Tamandua tetradactyla: one gene and its partner. The protein of the gene in region 1 interacts with the protein of each later gene in a pairwise test. Links are inferred from orthologs where the notes say so. Each region holds a gene or a part of one and is shown on either strand. Other genes may lie near its edges.

Region 1 (10,779 bases):
AAATGATCATGGTGATGAATACACAACTATGTGATGATATTGTGAGTCACTGATTGTAGATCACATATGGACCGTATGTGTGTGAAGGTTTGTCAATAAAAATACATTTTTTAAAAATAACAAGCAAACAAACAAACAAAAAACAAAACACACTCATCCTCTGGGTCAGGTTTCTCTCTATTGAATAAGGGAGTTGAAATATGGAAAGGGGGAGGGAATAAGCCCTGGGGTGGGGGGATGGAACTGAAAGGAGCAGTGTGAATTCATAGTACTGTAGATGGATAGATAGATAACGAATGAATGGATGGATGGACGGATGGATGGATGGACAGCAAGTGAACAGAGAGTCAAACAGATGGATGGATGGATGGATGGAGAGATACAGCAAATGTGGCAAAATACTAAAATAGGTGAATCTGGTATCTGGGGCGGGTTTATGTCGGAGTTTTGTCTGTGGAATTTGCATTATTATTACAACTGTCTTGTAAATTTGAAATTATTTCAAGATAAAAAGTTTGAAGCTCTCCTTACATTAAAAATAATTAAAAAGAAAGCCGTGAACTCCTGGGGAGGGATGGGGAGTGCGGTGGCAGGGACTGAGGTGGGGCTGTGGGCCAAGGGGATGCATGAGTGAGATGCAAATGCAGGGTCAGCCCTGCATTTAAAATTGTAGTATGTTGTTCATTATAGGTCTTTTCGCATGAATTTGGATTTGTTCAAAATATTGCATCTTTTTGACTTGTTAGAATGAGGAATGTTTACCTTGATGGCTGAGTTTTTTGGCAGCCCTCTTCATTTTATGCATGAGGTGAATGCCAGAGTTCATTAGGAAAGTCACTAGAAGTCTCATTGAGAAGGTTACTTTTCAGCCATGACTGGAAGGAGATGAAGGAATTAGCCAAGCTAATTGGGGAAGAATGTTCGAGGTAGGGAATGGCCTGTGCAAACACCCTGAGGCAGGACTGGGCCTGGGTGCTGGAGGAGCAGCGAGGAGGTCCCAGTGGCTGGAACCCTGGGAGCAAGGGGGGAGCGCGGGGGAGGAAAAGGCAAGGAGTGTGGGGCTTGGTAGGTTACAAGGAAGCTTTGGGCTTTTCCCCTTTGAGGGAGGTAGGAACCATGGAGGGCTGTGGGCAGAGGGGGGACGGGCCCTGATTGGAGTTTTTTTAAAAGACTGTCAGCATCCATCTATGGGTGAAAGTCACCCTGGCAACATGAGAGATGACTCCCAGAGATGAGCCTGGCCCCGGCACTGTGGGATCAACAATTCCATCCTGACCAAAAGGGGGAAAAGAAGTGTAACTAATAAAGTATCAGTGGCAGAGAGAGTTCAAATAGAGTCGAGAGGCTACTCTGGAGGTTGCTTTTACACAAGCTTCAGTTAGACCTTACTACCTATCATAACTTGCCAAATCTCAACCAGGACCATTCCAACCAATCCTAAAGAAAACTAGGGCAATATATAAGATTCCACAAGGGTTCCATGCACTAGGGTAACTTTCCAGAAACCTACAACCTCCAGATGGGGCCCTGGACCAGATAAAGCCTGAAACTTAGAGGGCCCAGCCTCTCCAGAATATCAACTAGTTCCATCTCCTTAACCCATATTATTGACAGCCCCTTCCAACATGAAGAAGTTAGAATGGCCATTGCCCAAATACCCCTAAAGAATGGGACAGAAAGATCAAAGGTGATGGTGGAGTCATATAGAGAAAGCAGAATTTAACAAATGAATATGATTGCTGAATCTTTAAATTGATATGTCTTTTAGTCTCCAGTATCTTAGAGCAACTAGAAGTAAAAACCTAAAAGTGTGGAATTGTAACCCATACCAAACTCTGAAATCTGTTCTCCAACTAATTATTGTGCTGTGCTTTGACATTTACTGCTTTTTTGTATATACGTTAGTTTTCACAAAAAAAGGAAAAAAAAAGTCAATTGTGGCGATAAAAAAATATTTATTCCTTCTAGCCTCCTAAATTCTGGAGCAGCTAGAAGGACAAATCTGAGAGGATAGTTTTGTAGCCCATGACAGACTCTGGGATCTGTCCTATAATTACTTGTTGAAGTGTGCTTTGAAAACTTGCTTTTTTCTTTCTTTGCTTTGTATATATGTTACACTATACAATTTTAAAAGTTTTTTTTTAAAAAAAGGTCAGCATCATGAAAGCAGGGATCACGGTCACTGCTATAAACCCCCACTTAGACCCATGCCTGGCATACAGTAGGTGCTCAATAAATGCTTACCAAGGGATTCAATGAATAATAGCTCCACGATGGGGCTGAGGATGAGGGGAATGCGCCGGGTGGTAAACTCATACTGCCTGGGGTCACCTGGCCAGGTAGCAGCAGACAGGGGTCAGAGTTGGGGGGACTTGAACCCAAAGCCGACAGCTGAGGTCCAGGCCCCCACCAGGTCCTTCCTGGGCCTCATGCCACCTGTTTGCTCCCACCTCTGACTGATGACCACATAGCTCCCTCCATCCATCACAGCGGGAAAGATGGTCCCAGAGGGTGGGAGACAGCAGACAGAAGCCATGCCCACCCCCTCCCACCCCCTCCTTGGCCCTGGACCTGATGCTAAGAGCCCCAGAGGTGGACATGTGGGGGTGGGGAAGCAGGCCTGCCACCTAGGGCACTGTCCTCTCCCAAAGCCCCCAAATCACACAATCGAATCTATTTCCCCCTTAAAGAGCTTCGGCTTTGAGTGATGACAACATTTTCCTCAAGGAAGGTGGTGGTGGCAGCACCCCACTGTAAAAGAAACTGATGCCACTGAATTGGACACTTAACAACGGTTCCAGTGGCACATTTCACGTATTATAGGCGGTTCCACAATTAAAAAAAAAAAAATGACTCCCTCCAAGGTTTCAGCTTTTTACCCTTTCTCTTTCCCTCCAGGCCCATGTGGATTTTTTTGTGGTCCCCAAAATTCCTCCTTATTCTGGGCTCAGCCCAGGCCTGTCTTTTTTCCAGCCTTGGTCTCCTGGCCTCCTGCCTTCCCTTCCTCTGTTCAGGCCGCCAGCTGGAACCTTCTACACCTAGTCTGGATCAAGTCGGAACCTTCTACACCCAGCCTGGGTCAAGTCTCCCAGCTGCTGTAACTCAGTGGTTCTCAACTGGGGTGATATTATCTCCCCCAGGGGACACTTAACGAGATCTGGAGATATTTTTGGTGGTCAGGACTGGGGATGGGGATGCCCCCGGCATCTGGCAGATGGACGCCAGGGAGGCTTGCTCAACACCCTAAAAGGCCCAGGACGCTCCCCACCCCAGCTAAGAATGATCCTGCCCCAAATGTCAGCAGGGCAGAGGCTGAGGCCCCTGCTCTAAAACCCCCCATGGCTCTCCAGTACCCTCAGAGTAAAATTCCAGTTCCTTAGCCCAGGATGCGGGGCCCTGTGTGGCCCCTGACCCTCTCCAGCCAGTTTTCCCACCCACCCTGACCTGTTTTCCTGCCTCTCCCTCCCTCTGAAGGGCAGGATTTTGTAGTAGCCAAGGGCTCAAGCACCTGGGTTTAAATCCCGGCCTTGCCATCTACCAGCTGTGTGACTTTAGCCAAGTTATTTAACCTCTCTGTGCCTTGGTTTTCCCGTTTCTAAAATGGGCATGACAGCAATAACTAAGACTTAAAGGGCTTAAGAAAAAGTCTGGAATGAGCTGGGACTCAGCATCAAGGGATTGTGAAAACCTTGACCAAAAGAGGGAAGAGAGAAATGAGACAAAATAAAGTGTCAATGGCTGAGAGAGGTCATCCTGGAGGTTATTCTTACGCATTATATAGAAATCACCTTTTTAGTTAAGGTGTAATGGAGAGGCTGGAGGGAACTGCCTGAAAATGTAGAGCTGTGTTCCAGTAGCCATGTCTCTTGAAGATGATTGTATAATGATATAGCTTTCACAGTGTGACTGTGTGATTGTGAAAACCTTGTGTCTAATGCTCCTTTTATCTACCTTATCAACAGATGAGTAAAACATAAGGAATAAAAATAAAAATAAATAATAGGGGGAACAAATTGTTGAAATAAATTTAATTTAGAAGATTGAAATGCTAGTGATCAATGAAAGGGAGGGGTAAGGGGTATGGTGTGTATGAATTTTTTTCTTTTTTTTAATTTCTTTTTCTGAATTATGCAAATGTTCTAAGAAATCATCATGATGATGAATATGCAAATATGTGACGATATTGTGAGTTATTGATTATATATCAAGAATGGAATGATCGTATGGTAAGAATGTTTGTGTTTATATGTTGTTGTGTTTAAAAAATAAATTAATTAATTAAATAAAAAAGAAGAAAGCATCTGGAGCATAGTAAAACCATGTAAGTTGGGTGGTTTATTATTACTTATAGTTTGGGCCACACTTCTTGACTTATCTACACACTGGAAACTCCTTCTTCTGAAAATGACTTCCCCTTTCAAAGGCAAAACCTGGGGTCCTTCTCTGTGGCCTAGCCCCAACCCCCTGGGACTCGGGGTGTCTGTATTGGGTTCTGCCTTCCCCCGACGATGGGGGTGTTGCCTCTGTGAGGCTCAGATCCAGGGGACACCCAGAAGAAAGAGCATCTGGTTGCCATGGTGAGGGGGTGGGGACAGGAATTGGGGCAAGGCTGATTTCATGGGCCCCGAAGGGCCTCCAGTCTGGTTTACCTCCCCAATACTGCCATCTGGGTATTCTAAATACTTTTTCAAGAAGGGGACCTGTAATTTTCATTTTGCCCTAGGGGAGGCCCCCCACAAATTCCGTAGCCAAGTCTGGTTCAGGGGTTCCGTTCACTCTGTGGGTTCCGCTGATTCCAGAAACTGACAAGAATATCAAGGAACTTTACTAAAGTCTGTTTTTTTGCTTAGTGTCAGGACCGAGGACAGCTTTGCATTTGCCCAATATGCCTGGTCCTCTCATCCTAATCCTGGCCCTTTTCAGATTCTGTCTTTATGCATGATGTTGACATCTTGTTCATCTTGCGTGGATTTTTATTTTAAAAAATACCACATTAAAATATCTTTTATCTTACACGCGCACAATGGAATATTATTGTACCTTAAAAAGGAGCGCAGCTCTGATAGGTGCTATAAAGTGCGTGAACCTCGACGTCACGTTGAGTGAAAGAAGCCAGGCACAAAAGGACAAATATCATATGATCCCACTGATAGGAAATTATTTGAATATGCAAATTGCTAGAGTCAGAAATTAGAATACCCGTCTACCATGGGGTGGGAAATGGGGAGTTCATGGGGAAGGCATGGAAAAGTTTTTGAGGGGATGACGCAGCACATTATGAAGATAACACCACCGAACTGTATACTTGAAAGCGGTTGAAACAGGAGATGTTATGTTGTATTTCCATTAGCACGATAATATTTTTTTAAATAAGCACAAGAAAAAGGAACATGTATGTGCATTATCTGAACAGCTTCAGTGAGGAGACTCTCAAAACCAGGGACAGCTACCCCCTCCCCCTCCCAGGGAGCCCACTTCCCTGAGTACAAGCCTAATAATTCCTCCCCATAACCCATAAAGTCTTGCAAACGTGCTCATCACCTCCTTGTAGGGACCAGCTACATAATTTGCACATCCGAATGCAAAAGGAAGCTGCAAGGCTTTTGTTCAAAAATTATGAAGAATGTCAAGAGGCCAGGGCAGAACATAAAACCTCCCTACCCTAGTCTCTTCCTCCATTCTCCCAGCGCCAGGCCCCATCCTGCCTCAGGGCCTTTGCACTGGCTGTAACAGTTCTCTGAATCTGCTCCTCCCAGCATATCCCCATACCCCTATGGGCTCCCAGCCTCTCCTTCTTCAGGTTTGCGAGTCCCTCTCTGATCTCCCCCTATTTAAACTGTGCCCTCTCATTGCCATCTGCACCCAAGAATTTGACCAGTGTATTTGTTCTTTGTGCGCCTGTGTCACCTCCCCTCCGTGGCCTTGGCACACAGTAGGCGCTCAATAAACGCCTGCCACAGTTACCACCGACTGCTCTGACAACGACGAAGAAACTGAGGCCCACAGAGGTTGGCCGCTGGGCCAAGGTCATCGAGTCCAGGTCACGCCATTGTGGTGCCCGTGGCTAGGAGGCTGGCAGTCCGGCCCTTTCTTTGACAGGTGGGGAAACCGAGGCGCAGCAGGCGTGAGGAGCATCCCACCCCCCACCCCCAACCCCTCACCCCGGCCCGGCTGGCTGGGAGCCCAGGGCGGTGGACGCGCCGTGTCCAAGGTCACCGTGCCGGGCCGGCCCCGGGGAGGGCGGGCTGGGGGGGGGTGGGGGGGAAGTGGTGGGGTGGGGGGGAGAGGCAGGCGGGGGTGGGGATCCGCAGGCCTCCCCGGGCGCGCGCTCCCCCCCCTTCGGCGGCGCGCACGGGGCACGGGAAGCAGCAGCAGCAGCAGCAGCAGCAGCAGCAGCAGCAGCAGGTGGAGCCGGAGCCTCCGCAGCGCCGAGGCCGCGGCCGCTGCCGGCGTCGCCGCCATTAGACAATAGGAGCGGAGGCCGCGAGTGCGGGGCGGGGCGGGAGGGAGCCCGGCGCGCAGGAAGCGGGGCCCGGGGCGCGCCGGGGCCGGGCGCGCGGGGAGGGGGCGCAGGAAGCGGGCGAGGCCGGGCGCGGGAGGCGGCGGCGGCGGCGGCGGCGGCCCCGGGAGCTGCCGATCGGCGCCGGGACAAAGGCGCGGCCGCCCGGCGCCCGGAGCCGCCCGAGCCGGGGGCGCACAGCCGGGGCGCATTGCGCGCCCCCCCGCCGCGACTGACATGATGTTTCCACAAAGCAGGCATTCGGTAAGCGGGGCCCGCTCGGCCCGGCTCCCCCTTCCCCCCACCTCCATGCCTGCTCCGGGGCCCGGTTCCCTTCGGCGCTCTAGCCCTCCACCCCCCACCCCACCCCACCATCAGCTCCGGGGCCCCGCACCCCCCACCGAGCCAGGCCTTGGCCTCGGGCGCTCCGGGAGCCCCGTCGGCACCCGTGGCGCTGGAGATCGTTTTGGGGCCTGCGGGGTGGGGGGGCGGGGTGGGGGGGGGCGGGAAGGGCGAACCAAGGGGCACCCCTCCCGGAAGAACGCCGCCTCGGGAAGGGCAATGGAGCTCTGGAGTGGGTGTCCCCCCACCCCCGCCCCGGAAGATTCGGGCGCTGGGAGAGGCCCTTCCTGTAAGGAGACTTTGCAGGGAGGCCTCTCCCCCCCACCCCCCCCCAGTTCTAGCTCGAGGAGGGGACTTTCTAGGACGCGTCCTTTACCTCCCCCTCCACCAGGGGCGGTTAGGGCGCTCGGATGTGCATCCCCGCTCCCCCCCCTCCCTCCACTCCCGGGGAGCTTTGGAGGAGCTGTAGAGGGCGCACCCTGCCCCCACCAAGGGCGGGCCTTAAAACGCACCCCCACAATCGGGGGTGGCGGGGGACTAGGCGGCTGCGGGCGCACCCTACCCCTCGGCTTCCCCCGGGAGAGGCGGGGGCAGGAAGCGGGGGCAGGGGCCGCGCTGGGGGCTGTAAACACGGGCCCAGGAAGTGGGGCAGGAGCGGGGGTGGGGGCGGTTGGAGGGCGGAGGGGGCGCGCTGCAGCTGCGGCAATCGCCGCCTCCCGGCCGGCCCGCGCGGAATTGGAAGGGAGGGTGGCCGGGCCCCCTCCTGGCGGTGAACCGGGCGGCCCCCTCCCCGCAGGGCTCTTCGCACCTACCCCAGCAACTCAAATTCACCACTTCGGACTCCTGCGACCGCATCAAAGATGAGTTCCAGCTGCTGCAGGCCCAGTACCACAGGTGAGCCGCGGGCAGGGGTCCCAGGCTCTGGGTCGAGGGCGGGGGTGGGGGTGGGGGTGGAAATGTGTCTGAATCCTACTCCCCTCCCTTGTACGGAGGGCAAGAAGGAGGCCTGGAGCCGAGATCTTGGCCTCTGTTAATAGACTTATGCAAACAATGCAATCATAGTGGCTCTCATTACAGCCACCCCATTCCTACCAAGTCCTGAGTACCTTACCGATATTGATATTAATTCGTATATTTTTAAAAACTGCCTCATCTCACGGATAAGAAAAATAAGGCACGAAAAAAGTTAAAAGATATGCCTGGCCTTGCAGCTGTCTGGCTTCAGAGCCCCAATTCCACCATCCCTAATGGATAAAAGACCTCTGAACAACTGAAGTTCCGGGATAGAACCCCCTGCCCCAGTCCCCCTAAAATGCTCTCTGCCAAGATTTGGGGAGAGGGTTCCTGGTTTCCAGCAGATTCTCAAAGCTGAGTCTGTGGCCCGAATTTCATCTAACATTTCTAAAAGGCCTGCCATGTGTCAGGTCTAAGTGGATGGAGCTTTTCCTTTCTTCCCATTAGGCTTAGGAAAAATTAAACCCAGAGAGGTTAGGGGATTCCTCCAGGATGCACAGCAAGCACGAAGAAGTAGTGAAGCTGAGATTTTGAACCCAGTCTAAGAAAGCAAATTCTCAACCTCTCTGCCCTGGTGGGTGGGGACTGGTCTGGGAATCAGGAGTTCCATGGTCACAGAGCCCAGTAAGACCCTGGGCCATCTCTGGGACTTAGTTTATGCACTCATAAAAGTGATCTTTGAAAGATCCTGGATTTTTTCTAGGAAAAAGTGGGAAGGCCGATTTTTTTTAGTGCAAATATCCACCCTTTTGGGGTTGTCCCGTATGCTAAGCACTGAACATGTTCCCTCTTGTTTAGTCCACCCCACTGTGTTGCATGCTGTCCATTATAAAGATAGGGAAACTGAGGCATAGAGGGTTGAAAGCATTGGAGGGTGTGGGGGCTTTGCCTGGTAGACCTGGACATTCTGGGTCCAAAGGGGGGCAGTTTCTCCCGCCACCCTAGCCCATGCCCACCTCACCCTGAGTACCCCAGGTATAGTCCCAGTACTGTCACCTCAGGCCCGCTGGACCCCCTTCTAAGCTTTTGCATCTCCTGCTAGGCCTGGGTGACCCATGAGGGGCTTTCCCTTTTCGGGGGCACATACAGGACCTGCCAAGCAGGACCAGCCCAGTTTCACCAGATTGTCTGGCCGGTTCATCAAGAATGGCCGGAAGTCCTGAGAGTGGGGATGAAATTGCCTGAGTTGTTTTGCTTTTGTGGTTTTTTTTTTTTTTTCTGGCAACAATTGCACACTTTTAAAAGAAACTCAGAGAAAACCAACTTTAGCGGGGGCCAAAGAAACTCCAACCTTGGGCATGTTCACATCGCGGGCCATGTCACGGTGTAAAATACCGGTGTCCCGAGGTGGTGAGAAGATGAAGCTGCGTTAATTGAGCGCTTACTGTGTGCCAGGCACTGTTCAAAGAGGTCTCCTCGTCTTAATTCACTTTAATCCTGCAAACCATCTTGGGAGGTCGGTACTTTGCAGATGAGTAAATGGAGGCTCAGTGAGGGAGGAAAATTTGTCCAGGGTCACACTGCAAGGAATTGGCAGGGTGAGTTTTGAACCCGGGCCCTGTGGCTGGGGAGCCTGTGCTTTGAACCACTCTCTGTCTCTTGTACAACCAGGGGTGACAAAGGTAGACCCTGCATACCCCTTGCTGGATCAGATTTAATGGAGTAAAGGAAAGAGGCTCGCCACCCCCTCCCCCCCCACCCCACCCCTGGGCCTTTTCTCAGCTGATTGACATCATTGCTAACTCTCTCCTTCCTGCTCCGAGGCCCTTGTGGGGGAAATACCCACAGCTTATCTTTGCTGGGGGAGCCAGAGAGAGGCAAGATAAAGTTTTATAGAACCTACCATGGTGGAAGTGATGCAGTTTTTTCCCAGTTAGAGAAAGGAACAGGGTTGGGGGCTCTGAGCTGGTCCAGTCCCCTCCCCATTTTACCCCTCAGGGAAATAAGGTGGGCCCAGGGCCACAAATCCCAGTGGGGGCTTTGTGTCCTGTCTGGGTCTCCTTGGACCCACCCACAAACGTGGTGGGACCACTTGAAGATCCCCAGTTGCGTTCAGGCAGGAGCTGACCCTCCCCTCCCACCCTCCCAGACCGCTCCTTGATCCCTGTCACTATTTCTGCAGTTTCTCACAATGACGAGGTTTGTGGCCTCTGAAGCCGGCCTCGCTATGCTTCCTGGCTGTGTGGCCTTGAACCACTTACTCAACCTCTCTGGGCATCATCTGGAAAAAAAAACAAGAGTCGTGATAATTCTGCCAGCCTTTCAGACCATTTCACAAGGATTGATTGAATGAGCTGCAGTCCCTGTCTTGATATAGAGGCAGTGCGTTTGTTCTCATTCTTCTGATCTCGTATTGTGATTTACTTCCTTCATCAGCAGCCTGGAAGGCTGGTCTCATGTCCCCATTTTATAGCCAGGGAAGCTGAGTCTCACGGCTCTTTGCCCAGCATCACCAAGAGCTCAAAAGCCATCAGTTCCCGAGTTCAGCAGATTGTGTTTGGCCATCGTTAAGGTCTGTGGCTTCACTGTGAAGGCCCAGGCTGATCTTAAGCTGTACCGAGGACTTGGCTGGGGACATGGGGAGCTCCCCAAGTGTCCTTGAAGCCTCAGTTTCCTCTCCTGCACCACAGGGGAGCCTGAGCCTAGCCTCTGACCTGTATCCCTGCACCCCTTCCTCCTTCTTCAGCCTGAAACTCGAATGTGACAAGCTGGCCAGCGAGAAGTCGGAGATGCAGCGCCACTATGTGATGGTAAAGTCCCCCAGCCCAGCGGGCAGAGATGGGGGCACGGGACGGGGGATGGACCCCAGACCCAACCCCACCCCAGTACAGCTGCCGCTTAAAAAAAACCCTGGCTGCCTTCTCTGTGGAGTCCGAGATTCAGGGGCTGCCCTCCATCCAGCTGGCCCCTGCAGGGCTGAGCCC
Region 2 (10,478 bases), on another chromosome or scaffold:
CCCCTGACCACCCCTCTATCTTCGTATTTCCCCACTCCCCACTCTCATGCTCTAGTGGTTCTGAGGCCCTTGCACCCTGAAATGAGCGGTGCTCTCTCTCCCTTCCTTCTGGCCCCTGTCCTTGCTGCTTACTTTGCCTGGGAAGCCCTACTCCTCCTGTGCTGGAGTTCTCCTATTTGTCCTTCAAAATTCAGCCCAGGTATCAGCTTTTACAAGCAGTCATCACCAGAGCCAGTCAGAATGCCTGGTGCATGGTGGACATTCAATTGATATTTACTGAATGAATGGATGGATGCATGCATGCTTGAGTAGGTGCTCAGCAATGTTTGTGGAATGGACCCAAAGGTATCTCTCTTAGACTTCATTATCTGAGTTCCTTAAAGAAATGCCTTTTCTGAGTTATGATTTAATGTTTTGCACTCTGCCTTCAGAGAACCCTCATGTGAGAAACTGACCAACTTAACGGCATTTCTGTCTTTTATGAAAACAGAATTGAATATATTGCCCACCGTATCACTCAGTGTCCTTTATACAAGGACTCATGATAAATTCATGCTTGGGGTTATTTCCAGGAAACATTTTTTGTCTCTGCAGATGAAGATTTTCTCCTGTCAGAAAATAAAAAACTGTGCCATCTGACATGTTTCCATTTTTGCTTTACTGACAAATAAGGATACCCAATTTTATTACCCTTTACCTCTATGTGATCTGACCAATTCAGTTACCTGGAAGTAGCAGCTCTTTCTGTTTTCTTTAGATCGGGTTAGATCTGGCTTTAATCTTCGATGCCAAATTTTGTGCTTTTTAATCTGAAAGCCACTCCTAAATAAATGTGCACTGATGATCAATATCCTGCATGGAGGGTATGGAAGAAGGAACCAAGCATCAAGATTCTGGTTGAGATTGATTTAGAACCTCTGTAGGAGTTCTTGGGGCATCTATTATGACTAGAGTCTGGCTTAGTGGAGAAAACCAAAGTAGGAAGCCAGAGGGTCTACTGGGTCCTGACTTAGATGCTCCCTTACTGGGCCACTACTGCTGACTCATATTCTTTTCTGTCCCTAGCCATGGCCTTCTTTTCTCCAACTGTAAATGGTAATCTTATAGTATGCCATTTTCATATTACATGGTTGTTAATAATAAAAGCTAATGATAAGAATAACTATAATTATCAATATCTTTTATTAAGGGTTCACAGAACCAGGCACTGTGCTGAGGACTTTACGCACATTTCCCCATTTGGACACACACCCCCTTCCCTACAACCCAAACTTGTCTGTATTGTTTTTATCACTTTGCAATGAAGAAATTCCAGAGCATGTGTGAAACCTCCAGTTAGTAAGTAGCAGAGGAGAAAGTCAAATTCAAGTATGTCAGCTGCCACCTCCCAAGCTCTTAACCACTTCTTCATATATGGGCAAGAAATCAAGACAATAATAAGGGATAAAACTCCCCTAGAAAATGGCAGGGATTGCTCATGGTCACCAGAAGGGGAACCCACAGAGTCACAGTTTTTCTTCTTGAAGACATATCTTTTAAAAAACCAGACTCTGCAGCCCAGTCTGGTTGCTGGGACATGCAGGGGAGGCCCATTCCCAAGAAACATGTTTGCAACCTCCTCTTCCTTCAGTTCTGATGGTCTGTCTCTGAAGAAATCTGGCTAGGACCTACCTCTGCATGGGCCCCGCTCCTGAGCTGTTTGACCCAGTAAGCATACTAGACAGGGTAACTGGGGTCTCTCCCATTTTTAGGGACCTACAAAAAAGTTTTAGGCCTGAAAATGTCATTATTAGCTTCAAAATACAAAGAGGAAAACCTGCAACATTTAAATCATTAAATAATTAAGTGCAAAATGTAACATTATGTTAAGTTCATTAACTGTTGAATTCAGTCATAAAAATTTCATTACATTTGATAAGAGTTTGTAGTTTGGATTTTTCTCACTGTGCAAGATATCCTGAGTAGGCACTGAGACTGGTGAGAAATCATAGCCAATCGTACATGAAATATATTACTCATGGCCCCAAATTTTCAAACGCAAAATGGAAAAACCCTCTCAATTTTCTTTACAGCCAAAACGTTGTATTTTGGAGGCGAGGTGGATGTGTTTGAAACATATTAGATGCAGATTGGAGCCTGTAAGAGTAAGCAGACTTAAGCCCACAAATACCTTAAAAGAGCCCAGGCTGTGTGCTCACCTTTCTGGATTCTCCAACCCAGCAGCTTTGTGTTGGAGGTGGAAGCTAGGTGAGTGCAGGCTTTGGCTGAAAGATATGTGAAAAGGATTGCCTTCTTCGGAGGCATTCCTAGAGCCAAATAGGAAAGTAAGAATTCCAGAACCCTAAATAATCATAGCTGACATTCGTTGGGTACCTAGCATGTGCCAAGCTAACTAGTCTAAATACTTTACATGTATTATCAATTATCATGAACAACTCTGTGAGGTCAGTATTTTTATTATCTCTGGCTCATAAATGAGCAAATAATCCTAGAAAGGTTAAACAACCTGCTCTGGGTAATATGGTTAGTGAGGAGTAAATTAAGAATCTTTCCAAGCTAAAAATAATTCAGAGATGAAAGGCTGTCTGTTAACATCTAATGAGTCATTTCAAGCTCTAAGAAGGAAGGGACCAAGCCAGTCTTCTTCACTATCTATCTTCAGCACCCCAAACAGTACCGGGCACATACATCTGTGTTGAACAGAGACTGGAATAGCATTTATCAAACCCGTGCTGTACTCCAGGGCACTTATAGAATGCTTGTACCTCCTTTGTTAGACTGTGACTTTGTTTAGAGCAGAGGTCTCATTCACCCTAACTCCTGTGTCTCACACAGTCTTGGCCCATGGTAGGTGCTCAAAAACCTACTTTTTGTAGATCCCTAAAAATGGGGGAGACCCCAGTTACCCTGTCTAGTATGCTTACTGGGTCAAACAACCATGCAGAGGTAGGTCCTAGCCAGATTTCTTCAGAGACAGACCATCAGAACTGAAGCAAGAGGAGGTTGCAAACATGTTTCCTGGGAATGGGCCTCCCCTGTATGTCCCAGCAACCAGACTGGGCTGCAGAGTCTGGTTTTTTAAAAGATATGTCTTCAAGAAGAAAAACTGTGACTCTGTGGGTTTCCCTTCTGGAGACCATGAAGGCCAGCTTAAATGAGGCCTGGTGTCCATTTCTCTGCCACAGAGCAATTTCCTGTACAACTGAAAATACAGCGAATATTCTCCTTTTTGCATGGCACAAAGTCTTGTTATTCAGGAACTCCAGAGACACACAGTCCAATATAATCAGAGAAAACTAATACACAGCATGTTTATATGCTTCTTATTTGCCAGGTGTTGTTCTAGGAACTAGCCATGTGGTAAGCAATTATTTAGTAATAGAACATTTATAACAATTCTACAAAGCAGGTGTTCTTTATCATTCTCATTTTACAGATGTGGCAACTGAAGCACAGAGAGGTTAAGTAACTTGCCTGAGTTTACGCTGCTAGAACTCAGAATTTGAACCCAGGCAGTCTGTCCTAGAGCCTATATGATCACGGAAATGTCTCCTGTGCTAGTATTCTAAAACTAACCACATGTGGCTGTTGGGCACTTGAACCGTGGCTAGTACAACTGAGAAGCTGAATATCTAATTTTATGTACATTGAATTAATTAAACCCAAATAGCCACATGTGACCAGGGGTTACTGTATAGCACACAGTTTATATTATCTCTAAGTGTATCAGTTAAGGTCTGCAGCATCTTCTGGAAGCCTCAGTTGTGTGCTCCAAGAAACATCCTTATCATTGTTCCCTGTCCCGTGTCTCCTGCTAAAGGGGAGAGAGGGCAGAAGGAGTAAGTGAGCTGGCTAACTTTCCAGGATCCCATGGCCTGGGTAGTGCAGGGTAGCTGGTGTTCTGCTCTAAGCATAGGTGTTAGCCAACCAAATGCCAAGTAGCACAAACACTGAGTGACATTTTCAGAACTATTAATATTTCATCAGAAATTATCACTTTGCCTTTAAATACACTATCTTAAAAGGTTTTCTACATTCTTAACTATAATTTTATTCAGTCTAGGTCCTTGGAATTTTCCCCAAAGGAACACGTTTTCAATTTTATAATGAAAATCAAAGAGGGATGAAGCTCGGATTTCAAAATTGAGTCAACATTTCCAGGAACTCAGCCTCTCTGTAAAGAGCAAGGTAGTGTATTGGGCACCTACTATATGCCAGACACTTAACATATAGTATACCATTAATTCACTCAACACATATTTACTAAGTGCCCACTATGTGCTGGAAATTTGAGTCTCATATAATTTATTATGGTTTACTGTCACCATTTTACAGGAAAAACTCTCTCTCATCCTTCCTGCCATCTCAAAAGTTATGTCCTCAAAGAAGTCTACTGGACCATCGTCTTATGGGGACCCACCTACTCCCCATTGCCTCACTTTGTTCTTTTCCGTCCCAGCCCTATTGATCCATAAATATTGTTTATTTTTTGCTTTGCCAAGTCTGTGTGATCTATCATCCTTCCCTGGAATACAGGATCAGGTGAGCTCTTTTGTTCATTTTCGTGTTTCCTCAGTGCCCAGCAAGGGCCAGAGGAAGGGCTAATCAATATTTAGTGAATGAATGAGTACATAAGATGGGAGAAGTTAAGCAAGTCGATCCAGGTCCCACACCTTGGAAGTGGCAGTGCCAGGAGTCAGTCCAGCTCCATGTCTATAGGCTGCCTTCTCGTTTATTTGTATCCATTCCATTTTCTTCTTTCTCTGCCTTCTTACTCTTCCTTCTCAGAGGAAACAACCCGAGGAACAACCACTAACTCCTGGGGCTGGAGGGCCTGGGGCAGAAGTCTTGGGTCATTTCCGAATGTAATAAAACAGTTTCAATGAGAGCAGAAGCTACCTGACTAGCAAACTGCACACTTGGCCCTTCTCTCTGCACCTCCGCACCCCCCACCGCCGCCCATTCCCAGGACGCGTGGAAGCCCAGCGCGGGAAGGAAGAGGCTCTCCCGGGGATCAGAGCGCGGGCGCAGGCCTCGAGTGCCTGGGTTTGAATCCCAGCGCCCGTTTTCGCTGTGGGCCTTCAACTCATCCGTTTATGACCGTGAGACTGTTTCTGCATATGGGGAACGATAATAAAGACACGGTATTAACTGCGTGAGTTTGCAGAGATTGTGTATGATGACACGGAGAGCTCAGCGCTCGGCACACAGGAAGTGCCCATAAAATGGCACTTAGGGTTATAATCGGGCGATGTGGAGGAGCACGGCCCGCTGGCTGGCGCCGAGGTTCCTGCGGAGCAGCGGGGAGAGGAGTAGCAGGGTGAGAGGCTGCCCCGCTTTCTTGGATTTCTAAGAAGGGAAAGTGCCCGGGACCCTCGGGGCGCCCCCGCCCCCACCGCGGCGGCCTGAGGGCCTCGGACGCCGAACCCCCGCGGCCCGCGCCCCGAGCCGTTGCGTTTGAAAGCCACAGAAGGAGTTGCAGCGCTGGACGGGAAGGGTGTGAGGGCCGCTGGCACGCAGATAGGCCAAAGCCGCCCCGCCCTGCCCGCCCTGCCCGACAGCGCCCCTTTAAAGCGTCGGGACCCTTCCGGGGGCCCAGCCCGGCCTCCTGGCGCGGGGGGCGCGACCGGCGTCTGCTGGGGCTGCCGGGGGCGGCTTGCGGGCCGCCCGGATTGACTGACTCAAGTTTTCTTGCCCCGGGGCGGCAGAGCAGCCTCTGGAGAAGGCGACAGAAGGGGGTGGGGGGCGAGCAAAGGCGGGCACTCGGTGGGGAGAGGGGGTCAGGGGCCGTTGGCCCTCGGCCTGGGAAGGCCGGAGCTGAGATTCTAAAGGCGGGCTCCTGCCCCCACCGGGCCTAGCCCGGAGCCAGGCGCCTCACCACTCCCCCCCTCCCCGTGGCTTAGTAGGAGAGGATGGGCTGAGCCCCAGGCGCCGCCAGGTGTCAGGGGTGTGTCGCAAGGGTGGAGCGCCTGGGATTCTGGGGAGAGCCAGCCCTCCCCCTCCAGCCGTTCCCAGATGTCCTTCTGCCCGCCCAAGCGCCTGGTTCCTGAGCTCCGGGGGATTCCACGGTTACTAAGCTACTGGTTTTTGTTGACTTTTAAATATTTTCTTCTAAGGGAGAGGGGGAGGGGGACAAAAGTCAGGGAAGAGCAGATACAAACAAATCAAACTAAGCTCCCCCTCCCCAAAAGAAAGCCGTCCTCTACCCACCACTCACAGACAAATCAGGGGCCTCAGAACATAGTCACCTCGTCCAAGCAACGGCCAGCCAGAACTGACCTGCCTCTGCCAGTGCCCATCCTTATCTCCCTTTCTGGTGAATGAAGGGTGGTGGCGGATGGTCCCTCTGTCTGCGAGCCCTGGGCAGACAAAGGGGCTTCCGGAAGGAAAGGACGAGAATGGCCAGTGGGAATGGATTCCCTTCATCCTCGGCCCTGATGGCCAAGCGCCCCTCCGCCCTGGGCCCATTCCCCAGATACATCTGGATCCACCAGGACACACCCCAAGACAGCCTAGACAAGACTTGCCATGAAATCTGGAAGAGGGTTCAGGGTCTGCAGGAGGCCTTGCAGCCCAGGACCTCAACGGAGCAGCCCTCTGCCCCCATGGCTGGGACTCCACGAGATAACAGGCTCAGCTTCCAAGAAGAGTGAGTGTACCCCTGCTTGGTTGGCATAAGGGAGGAGGGAGGAGATGAGTTCTGACTTTCCGGGGAAATGCTCTTGCCCAATATTCAGTCTGATTAAACCCTAAAGACTATATACTTTTCCTCTACCCTTCCCCATGGTCTTTTGTTCAGCCTTTCTGGAAGAGCTGTCTTAGGTCTTGACGTTACTGGATGAAGGGCCAGACCAGGGCTGTATTCCAGGCTGCTTCTTCACCAGCCCAGTAAGGGGACATATTTCATCTTCAAGGCATAGCCAAACCAGATTTGGGGTTGAGGTTCCTCAGAAAACGCCCTAGCCAAGGCTGAGGAGCATGTAGATATCTCTTTTGAAGCTTGTGGGCCCCGGAGACCCTTGGCTTTCCCCGGAATCTGACAGAAGATCCTTCTTCTGACCCCCCCCCCCCCAAAGGTTGGGCATTCACACAAGATAAGCCTGGTGGTTTTAAACCACATCTGGAATTCCCTAATACAGGAAGCAGCTGTCCCATTCAGCCTTCACAGAAGCTGCTGCAAAAGCTCACATCAAAATATTTACTGGGAAGGCATTGACATATTCAGAGGACATAATAGAAAATTAAAGTGTGGGAAGAAGGCTGTAAATAGCCCGTTTCCAGGATGGGAAATCCTGTGTCTGGGATACACAGAGCTAAATGTTTCTTTACCAGGGCAAAATTGGACAGATATTGTTGGGAATAGATATTTGCAAGGAGAGAAAGAAGCAGCGAAAAGGAAGAGACCTCATTAAGAAAAAGAAAATAAATTCAGTGTGGCTGTTAATGCCACTGTTGAGCACTTCTTCAGTGCTTTACAACTTCAAAGTGGACCGCAAACATTAATTAATCCTCCTGGAGTCCCGATGAGGCAGGTATTAGTGTCCCCATTTTACAGATGGATTAAGTGTTAACAGTTAAGTGCTAATTAAAGACTAAGCGATAATTAAGTGTTGTCTATGCCAACACATGCTCCAGCTCAGTTCAGAGATGCTCTGGAGTGGGGGAACCATGCAGGCAATTATCAGCTGCCTCCAGATTCAGGGATCTCCAAGCAAGAGCTAAGGAGAAAAGCAAACTATAGCTGCTACACAGGTCTGCACTGAATGCTGCACTTACCAACTGGCTGCAGACCAGGGTGGAAGGCACTTTGGCTGCGAATGCCTCCCCTGCCCTATGCTGAGCAGGATAAGGCTTGGATGGGAGTGGCCTGTCTAAAGCCACAGTCGTGCTGTCAGGCCCTCCAGTGGCAATAAGCCTCTCTCCCCTACCCATTGCCATCTGCTCAGAGACAGGGCCTTGGCACAGGGACCCAAGGGACTGTGCTCAGGTCCCATTGGCCAGGCATCCAATTGTCCACTTTGTGGACCAAGGGTCAGTAGCAATTTCCAGTAGGCGGCACACTCCCTGCCAGGTCCCACTGAGTGAATAGAGACAGACTCTCTTCCAGTCTGTACTTGGCCAAAAATTGAACTGGCACACCTTTGACCAGTTGCTTAATTTCATTTGGCCTGGATTTTCTCATCTGCAAATTGAGGATGATGTGTCCTGCCTTGTCCACCTCAGAGTTGATAATGAGGATCAAATATGATGGAAGACAGGAAAACAGAGATGCATTATACTAATGTAGGCTGTCCTTAAAATATAATTCTTGGGTTTGGGCATTTTTGTTGCTGTTGTTATTGTTGACTTCTACCTGGAGTTCTAAACCCATGCTCCACAGACCCTAAGGTGTTGCAGGGGCCACCCAAGAGTCAAGTGGACTGGTTGCTGGGTTCCAGTCCCCACTTCAACCCAGCTGTTCTGTTTTTATTGGTTTTACTTACTGGATTTCTGAGTAAGGCGTTTGAAAAAAGAAAAAAAAAAAAGAGTTCTGCTGCTGAGAGAAGAGCTAGGAAACCACTGGCTTAGATGAATAACGATATCATAAGTGCGTCGATGCCAACCAAGTAGAACACAATGAGCTATTCTTGAAATAAAGTCAGCTGTGATAGTGGAGCCAGACAACTCTGGTTTCAGACCACATTTCAGCCCTGTGCCAGCTGCAGGATTAATGACTCTTTAATTTACCTGAGCTTTGGTTTCCTCATCAGCTTAATGGAAATGACTATCCATTTCATAGGATTATTGGGATGATTAAATATGGTATTTAGAAATTTCTGGCAATAATTCTAATTTGTAAAATCTCCTTGTAATTATGTTGATGATAAATACTTTAAGCCCTCCAATTGTTCCATGATGCAGGTATTATTATTAAACTCCCCTCTTTTATTTTTATTATACATTTTTTCAGATACGTAAAAGTAGAATAGTATAGGGAATGTCTCTGTGTCTATCACTGAGTTTCAATAATTATTACCTTTATGCCATTCTTGTTTCCATTGTCTTTAATGAAATCGTTTTTAAAGTTGAAGCAACTGAAGTTTGGAGGGAGTTAATTTCACTGCACAAAGTTAAGAAGTGGTGGAGTTTTAGAAATCAAACCCAGGGCTGTCTCATGTTGGCTATCTTCCCCCAACAACCTGAGGCATCTTTTTGGGTAGTCAAAATATTTGGAAGTCCCATGTTTTGAATGATCACAGATCAGAAAACAGATTTTAAAGGTGGGGAGCTGTCCAGGGTCCAGAAGACACCTCTCAGTTCATCTTTCCACTGCTTAATTTGTAGACCTTTTTATTTTTTTCCCACATGGGCAGGCACCGGGAATCGAACCCAGATCTCCAGCATGGCAGACGAGAACTCTGCCTGCTAAGTCACTGTGGCCCTCCCATAAACCTTTCTTCGGTGATGTATTCTGCTCTCAGAGCAGCCCGATAAGCAAGTTCTACTACTCTTGTTCACCAGAAACTTTTTCTTGACTCTGAACCTTTATTCCATTCAAACCCAGGCATCTCAAGTTTAGAAGGGATCTTGGCGGTCACCTTCTGCTGCTTGAATCCCTTCCCCAACATTCTTGCCAAGTTGTTATTCACTTGCACACTTTCTTAGAAGAGAGGCTCACCACTTCCAAACATAGTGCCTTCTCTTGCTCTGAACGTTGACTGTCTAAGTTCATTTCCTCCCTGTAATCGAAATGTATCCCTATCAAGCTAATAGTATACCTTAGTATGGATTCTGCTCCTTTGGGATCCAAGTTTTTTCTTTCTTTCTCTCAAGAGTCCTTTAGATATTAAAGCCAGCAACGATGTTCCTCCTAGGATTTTTGTTTCTTTAAGGTAAATGCCTCTGGTTTTCCAAGTTTCCCCTTAGATGCCTACTTGGTCAGTTTCCTGTCTATATTACCCATCCTTGTTTCAGTACGAATTCCAGAACCAAGTGCAGTAATTCAGATATGGCCAAGTCAGCACAGAGTAGAGTTGGATCATTTCCTCCCCATCCATATTCTGAATTCCTGTTAATAGCAATTGAGAATACATTTGCTTTCTTCCCCAAGCCCACATCATTCTGTTTTTTGAATTTATTTATTTATACATTCATTCATTCAACAAATATTCATGAGCATCTACTATGTACCTGCAACAGTGCTAGGAACTAGGGAGATAAGACTCTACCATCCTAGAACCTACGTCCTAGTCAGGGAGAGAGACAGAAAACAAATAAATAAAATGGCTGTGATAATTTCAGGACATGAAAGGACTGGTACTGTAGTTGGAGGAGACAGATAATAAGCATATAAAACATAAACAAGATGATTTCAGATAACAATAATAAAGTAGAGTGATATAATAGCAGAGAGCTTTCTTTGAGGAGGGGCTATTTGGGTTGAGCTCTGGATGCCAAGAAGGAACCAGTCAGGCAAAAATCCAGGAAAGAGCAAGTGC

The links. The genes of interacting proteins can lie anywhere in the genome.
Region 2: the proteins of TLE5 (region 1) and C2H1orf94 interact in binary tests that used the Homo sapiens proteins (3 or more experiments, as listed by UniProt). The two-hybrid records come from large-scale screens. The link is inferred for Tamandua tetradactyla from reciprocal best matches to the Homo sapiens genes TLE5 and C1orf94.

The regions. Positions count from the first base shown.
Region 1 is NC_135337.1:79,360,783-79,371,561, forward strand, and holds the start of TLE5 (TLE family member 5), read left to right. Parts: upstream 1-6,666; 5' UTR 6,667-6,736; coding exon 6,737-6,763; intron 6,764-7,637; coding exon 7,638-7,735; intron 7,736-10,541; coding exon 10,542-10,605; intron 10,606-10,779. UniProt on the Homo sapiens protein: Transcriptional corepressor. Acts as a dominant repressor towards other family members. Inhibits NF-kappa-B-regulated gene expression. May be required for the initiation and maintenance of the differentiated state.
Region 2 is NC_135328.1:191,530,345-191,540,822, reverse strand, and holds the start of C2H1orf94 (uncharacterized protein C1orf94 homolog), read left to right. Parts: upstream 1-5,461; 5' UTR 5,462-6,320; coding exon 6,321-6,649; intron 6,650-10,478.